Pelodiscus sinensis: one gene and its partner. The protein of the gene in region 1 interacts with the protein of each later gene in a biochemical or structural test. Links are inferred from orthologs where the notes say so. Each region holds a gene or a part of one and is shown on either strand. Other genes may lie near its edges.

Region 1 (3,753 bases):
ATGTGCCCACTCTGCCTCAGAAGAACAGTGTTAGGATATAAGAGCAGAAAAAGATGAAGCATACACCAATTTTGTGGTATCTTTTTTCTGCTCCCATCTGTGCCCCAGTGCCATGAGGAGTTACACTCTCTCCAGTATGTAAAGCTAGGAGACATCTCAAGGAGGGAGGAAGACAAAGAAAGAACAAGTACATTAAATTGATGAATAAAGACACCAAGCAAGAAAAAAAATGAAATGGAAGAAAAGGTTTCTCTACAGCAGTGTGAGTGCGTGTGGGGGGAGAATGTGATAGTGAAGCAGAAAGCACCATAGTACTGTATTCAGGTTTTAGAGGTGTTCCCTGAAAAATTGGGCTTTTGCCTTATTGTACAACATACACTTTTAAACTATACATTTCACTCTACATTTTGCATTAGTGGGATATTGTAGGTAACTGACAAGGTTGTACAGGTTTAATTTCGATTTATAGGATAGAATCAGAATGGCTCAGCTGTGTGGCATAGAGTCTCTCTGGTAGTGTAGTGTTTATCAGTGATAGATGCTTCCCAGAAGGATCAATGAAGTTTTGTTCTTGCTGATGATTAAATTCTGAATTAACATTAGCATAGTAACAACTATTGCATTCTCAGATAAGTACTGATTTGTTATTTTACTTTTCTTCCAAGTATTTCACACTTTACAAACACTAATTATAGTTTGTGGTCTATGGGGAATTATTTTTCACTGAGTTTCAAAAATCTTTTAAAATCTCCCTCCTTTAAATGAAAAAAAAAAGATTTCATAATGAAAGTCTCAAGAGATCTACCAGGACAAGAAAAAATGAATGCACACCTATCACCCTTCCCACATCACACATTCAATGTGTGCATGCAGGCAAATTAGTACAAGAGAACTCAGATACCTAGTGGCGCTTCCTAGAAGTAATTGAAGGCACATTTACTTCATTTGTGCACAAAACTCAGATAGGTGTAGACGCAAATCGAAGTTGCATAATTGTTTATGGAGTTTCGGCACACATTTTGAAACAAACCTGCGCCCATAGTTTTAAATGTCCTCCCTTCAGCAGCAGGGCAAATTGGGTTAAATGTGGTGAAGGCTTTGGTGGGGAAGAGGTGGACATTTGGCCGTGTGGAGGGGCTTGCTGTTGATGTGAGCGTGGCTCGCTGCATAGCTTACTCCTATCTCCATCTGCCGCTGTTGATGAGAGGGGCTGGTGCATGCTTGTGCTGTGGATGTGAGCGGGCTTGGTTGCAGCAGGGATGCATCTGTTGGCTCTCGACAAGGAGAGCAGCTGCATGCCCGCCCCTGCCGCTGATGCGGGAGGGACCGCATGCCTGTATCTGCGGCGGACGGAGGAGCAGTGACTCGCCCGCCTCCCAGCCCGCTTCTCTCCCTGTCTGGCTGGGCGAGACAGAGCCTCCGTCTGTCCCCGGGGCAGTCACGCGGAGGGAGGCGGGGCAGGGGCGGAGCCGCAGGAGAGGGGCTGGCCCGGGCGCTGCGCGCCGGTGGCTGCAGAGCTGGAGCCGCGGCAGGAGGAGCGAGGGGGAGGAAGATGGTGGAGCTGGAGGTAGGAGCGGCTGAAGTGAAGGCTCATTCCCCGCCTGGCTGCCCTGCTCCCCGGCCCCAGCAGCACCGCGCTGCCTGCTGAAGGGGCCTGCGCAGACTCCAGCCGAGGTAACGAGGCTTCTCCCCAGCCCCGCTGTGGCAAGGGGATGGGCGCAAGGAAATACCGCGAAGGGACAGAATCCGGCGAGCCCCGAATGAATGTGGATTTGGTGCTGCGGCCACATGCTGAGCCCGCCTGCGGCTGAGGGCTTGCCTAGGGGCCCGGCTGCAGGAGGGCCTGGCTGCCTGCACAAGGCTGCGTGTGTGTGTGCGCGCGCGGGGAGCAGGGGATGTGAGCTAACCTGGCTGAGAGAGACCGGGGGATATGGCATGATTCCTCCTCTCCCTTCCCCCCTCCCGGATCTGCTGGCAGCAGAGGATGCTGCGACTGAAAAAATGAGGTGGTGGCAGCCGCCGGCATCAGAAGTGCACAGTGTTGTGGCAGGCACTTGCTGTGTGCAGCATGCACCAGTGGGAGTGGGGCGGGGGGATGGGAGACGGCAGGTTTTAGGAGGGGGTGTGTGTGTGAGACAGAGAGTGAGATTTGCAGTGAAAGATACACAGATTTGTTAATGCCCCTGGGGCCAGCTCTTGCTGCAGATAGTCTCAACACAGTAATCATTATGTTTTTTTAAAATGTGGTGAGTTGGGGGGGGGATTTATTGTTATGAAACCATTTATGTTGGTCTGTGTTCTCACTGGAGCTAATAGATTACTTTCCTTTGATAGTGTGGGGAATGATTTTTTTTTTCTTTTTGGAGGTGGGGAGGAGACTGTAGCAACTGAACAGAGGCAGCACATGGCCCTGGCAGAACAGGGGATGAAGATGACATCTCCTGCAGAAAGTGCTGCTGGTCTCCTCTTGACAGATTTTGGAGGTTCCAGGAATAGGAAATTGTTCCCATCCCTAGTGCATCCCAGGATCTGGGACACTTTGTGTGTGTGTGTGTGTCTGAACAAGGACAGGGATGACAAGCTGGTATTGTCAGATACCACTTTTAGAGAACAGAGCCCACTTGATTTGTTCTTGCCCTTACCAGCTTCTTCACGGATGCTGGTGCAGTCAGGTTGTGGCTTGGTTAAATCAGGCCTGCAGTCATCACAGATGTATATCTTCCACCTTTTTTTCTGGGAAGCTTGGTCTAGCAATTCTTCAGCAATTCACTGAAGCTTGTTTTGCTGTCGTTATGTTTAAATCTGCATTTAGGGAATATACTGGGGACCTTAGGCCTGAGCTTTCAGAAAAATGAGATGGCTTTCCACTTCTTGTGGCTTTATTATGATGAGGGATTTCAGCTTACTGTATTGTGCATTACAGATCTCTGATGCCATAACTGCTCATGAACTAAAACAATGGGACAGAAAATGGACTATAAGGCATTGATGTTTCTGGTTCTGCATATATTAAGGATGCGCTAATAAGGGGGACAAACACGGCATGTGTTGTTAAATTTTACCTTCATTGCACATTATACCAGGTGATAAGAACACATCCTACTATAAGTATTTTAATGCATTTTTGTTAACCTGTTTCATAGGATCTCAGCTATCATGCTTTGGAAAATATTCCAGTCACAATACTTTAAATTTCACTGCATTGCTGTCAAAATATGAATAGTGTGCCCCTATCTTTGCTGCCTGTGGCTGTCATACCTCCACAAACAAATACATAACATGTTGTCATTATCAACGTTTGAGAAATAGAAATAAAGGGTAAATCTTTGTATAGGTAACCAAAAATGAGGGTCATTTATACCTGTCACTTTAGAAACTCGGTGTCAGAAATCCTGCTCATTATTGTTTTGTATTCCACCAATTGCCAGTGCTTCAGATCAGGCTTTCTTTGCCCAGTCATTCCATAACACAGCTTTTAATTTTCCTCTTCTACACTTCTTTCATTCTGATTTAGAATTTGTTTAAAATGTCACTATATGTAATTTATATGTAAAGATTAAAGGATACATTTTATATACAAGTAATTTTTTTCGAATGTTAGGTCTATGATCGTATGCTAGTTCTTTGTGGAACTGTTGTCTAAAATAATACTCTAAAACATAGTCCTTGTTTTCCCCCTTTCTGAAGCTCTTCTTTTTGCCACATAATTGACTGCATGCTCTTATTTTTGTTAAAAGGCATCGTTATCAACTG
Region 2 (3,753 bases), about 13 Mb from region 1:
ACCAAACCTTTCTCCAAATCTCTCTCAAAACATTGTTTGGCTAAATTAAAGCCCTGATCTGAGCCACCAATGGTCTTGCTTTGCAAAACTAAAGTGCTGTAGCTGTGTAAAAGCAAAACCGCCTCCTTTCCCCATTTCTAGTTAAATCAGTGAATGGCCAGGATGTTTGGAAGCTTGGCTTAGATAAGCAACCAAAAGTTTAGATTATGGGAGCCTTAGCCAGGCTTCCTTCCCACCGTGCTCCCATCGCCAAACAACTCTGATTGGTGACCTGTATTGAGTTCTGGGGGAGTGGTCTGAAACATGCCACAGTTCAGACTCTCTTCAGTCTGGCCCACTGATGGCCCTGCTGTGTTTTGAAGTTGTATGTTTGCAATAAAGAGGGCAGGATTTACACCAGCTGTCAAGGCTGGTTTATCCTACTATAAACCTTTGAAGGAAGACCCCTGATAGGGGGGAAAGCCCATCAAGGAGATGTGAACTCCACCTTTATATCAGATTGGGAGATTCATAGAGGCTTCTGAGAGACCTTAAGGAAGAGGGTACTTGTTGGAACAGGGGCATGTATTAGAGAAGCTGGGAATATGGTGAATCTGCACATTATTCTAGTAGCCTCCGGTGCAGTCTATAGTCTGAATCTAGTCATGGGAACCAAGAGGAAATGGTAGTGACAGAATCTCCACCAGTCTGTGAGGTGAATGATCACTGTTAGCACAAAATGCCTCACTGATGCCAGGAGAGACCTAATAAAATGATAGTCTTTAACATGTAATCAGGCTTGTACTTATTACTCTGTTTACCATTCATGGCCACTCTAGCCAGTTTTTCAAGTATATTTTGAGGCTGTAAATTAAAATACATACATCACAATCCCTCTGAAAAATAAATCCAAGCTAAAGCTTTTATACTCCTATAACAATCCTTTAGACAGCTTAAAGAACACTTAATATCTTTAATGTTAATATCTTGTGTGCTAAAGATCCACCAAAGTATTTTATTTTAACCCTCAAAATGAGCAATAGCAGTCAGGAAATGCTGACACAAGCTTAACCAAGTGACACCAATCTTATTGAAGCTCCTTCATTTATGGGTTATTACAAAATTTCTGAGGCATTATTTTCTTATGGAGACTAGGTTACTACTTCCTACATTTACTTTTCTCACTTAGGTCCAGTGCACTTTCTGCCTCCCCTCTTAGAGTTCCTGCCACAAATGCTTGAGAAACATAATATATTATCTCTAAAAGATAATATTTCTAAGTGCCTTAGCAACTGAAAGTTCTTTCTGGATATAGTGTCTAAAAGGAGAGAAAACCAGGATGTACACCAAATAAATACATTTCACATATATAAAAATCACTGTAAAGACTTGGGCATAGTGAAAGCCCAGAAAAGACTGTCCCGGTGCATATGTGCAGAATGTTCTATCATATTATATGGCTTTCATTAGAGACTCACATTTCCTACCTATCACCACAAGGGGTGTCCAGGACACATGTGAACGTGTAGCTTCTGTAAGCAAGCTGTCAGGGTAGTCTTGCAGTTTAGCCCTGAGTGATTCTGTGAAATTGGAGGAGTGATTCTTGCTGCTGTTCTTAAGGGATTGCTGTTGTTAGGGAAGGGGGGGAAAAAAAAGCAGATTTGGCCGTGTGTGTGCATGTGTGAGCAGATGCAGAGTGCGTTTGACTGAGGAATCTGACTACTGGGATGCACTGAAAGAAGAGAGACGCACACAGACAGAAAGAGAGACAGAGAGAAGAGGAAGCAAGAATAGGATTGAAGTGCAGAACAGCTGTTCCCTAATACTCAGTTCTTTTGGGTGCCTCAATACATGTGAACATGGATTCTGTCACTGAAATCATCTTCAAACTGCTGTTTCTGTTATTGGTTCAGAACTGGAACACAATAGTGTCAGGAAATAAATGTAAGTATTGCAAATTATTTAAAACTCAGAGCACACTGCTTTGAAAACTTCTGGGCTATTTCATTTAGCTTTGAAATAAATCTTGCTCTTGAACTAAATGCTTAATATATCTGTAAACATGACAGCAAATAGCTAGGCTGACAATGTTTCTTTGGCTGAGAAATATCATTGTCTAACTTCTAAAATTCTAAAATTTTTATACAAATCTATATACAGAATTCTATTGAGAAGTTCAAGTTCCAGTATAATCTGAAATTAACCAAGGAAGTGCATGTTCCATTCCCATTTTAATTTTTGTTTCCTGTTTTACAAGGCATTTTGTCTTACATTGAAATTACTGGAAGACTTCTACTGTATGCTGCATCAGCTTAGATTTTAGCACCGGGTAATTCAGAAAGCTGGTAGCTGAATATCATGGAATAAGCAGGCACTCAAATAAGACTTATGTATAGTAAGATGCAGTTTATGAGCAAAGAAAATGTAACAAAGAAAAAATCTTGAGGACAAGATTTCCTGGAATGTGCACTGATTTCTTAGAGAATAGTGCTCATGTACAACTAAGGAAGAAGGCACTATCAGTAGCAGCAGAAAGTTTTTTTTTAAATGAGTAAACCATAGGTAGCCAGTAGGGTAGTATTACAAAACAGAGACAGGTGATTACACTGTGTAAGGGAATCTGTCCTTTAGAAGGCAGATCTGATGTATATGTGACTTTGAACTGGGATCTTTGATTTCAATGTTGAATCGAGTCTGAGCATTTTGACCTTTGACTAATTTATCAGAAACTAACTTCCAAGCAATTTACCAACTCCGTAATTGTTCTGAGTTCCTTTGGCTTCAGGGAATCATAAAGCTTTTTATTTTTGATACATCTATCAGAATAGTAGCCTAAATGGCCGATGTTTAAAATGAGCACCCTGTTTTGTTTTGACTTTTAATCCAGTTGAAGGGCTGGCTGTGCATCATGTGAATGGGAAAGGCTGAGATAGTGACTGCATTTTAAGAATGTGGGTGTTAGTGCTACTGGGAATGTTCAGGAACAACTTTACAGCACTGTAGCAGGGGACAGCTCTCTGCAAACATCTGAGCCATGACAAAGTTAGAAGCGCTGTGTGCATTGAAGAGTTTTCCTGTGGACATCTTGCAAACTAAACATGCTACAATGAGCCTGATGATCACACTGCAGCGCCAAAATGATCTTGTGCTGTCATTCGGTAATCATATCTCATTTGATACTCCAGTGCATAGAGGAGCTCTAAACATAAATACTAAGCTTCTTTGGAAAAAAACCCTGCTGCAGTCCAGGCTCAGCTTTAATTTTCTTAATCATTCTGTATTGTTAATCTGAAATTAACAATTAATTCTCTTAATCATTCTGTATTATTAATACATCCATTTTCACAAGATCATGATAATTGAATCACATTAATAGCATTTGGCATTATTCACAAGACTAAATCAGATGTTTACAGAAAGGCACATTAAAACTATTGCAAAATAGGACTTGCAGAATACAACAAAACAGTAAAGCACTAGAGGTCACTCTTACAATTTAAGAAATAAGGCTTAGGAAAAATCAAGCTTTTTCTAGTACAGAATTATGAAGGGTAAAATATATCAGGTATGAACCACATCTATCCTTTTTGTTTCTCTAGTACTTCTCAGTGAAAAGGCAAGCAAAGCTTAAATGAATGTCTATATTAATACACTTTTATTTTTCTTACACAAAGAGATTTGCCTATAATTATCTCATAATCAAAACACCCCTGTGAAGTAAGGAAATAAGGATACTTCTCCATGTAGAGATAGTGAAAATGATGCTTGGAGAAT

What was found. The genes of interacting proteins can lie anywhere in the genome.
Region 2: the proteins of APBA1 (region 1) and CNTNAP4 form a complex in vitro, tested with the Homo sapiens proteins (2 studies listed by BioGRID and IntAct, with this or other methods). The link is inferred for Pelodiscus sinensis from reciprocal best matches to the Homo sapiens genes APBA1 and CNTNAP4.

Annotation. Positions count from the first base shown.
Region 1 is NC_134716.1:32,505,420-32,509,172, reverse strand, and holds the start of APBA1 (amyloid-beta A4 precursor protein-binding family A member 1), read left to right. Parts: upstream 1-1,449; 5' UTR 1,450-1,674; intron 1,675-2,923; exon of another isoform or gene 2,924-3,083; intron 3,084-3,753. UniProt on the Homo sapiens protein: Putative function in synaptic vesicle exocytosis by binding to Munc18-1, an essential component of the synaptic vesicle exocytotic machinery. May modulate processing of the amyloid-beta precursor protein (APP) and hence formation of APP-beta.
Region 2 is NC_134716.1:45,710,903-45,714,655, reverse strand, and holds the start of CNTNAP4 (contactin-associated protein-like 4), read left to right. Parts: upstream 1-1,532; 5' UTR 1,533-1,838; coding exon 1,839-1,923; intron 1,924-3,753. UniProt on the Homo sapiens protein: Presynaptic protein involved in both dopaminergic synaptic transmission and GABAergic system, thereby participating in the structural maturation of inhibitory interneuron synapses.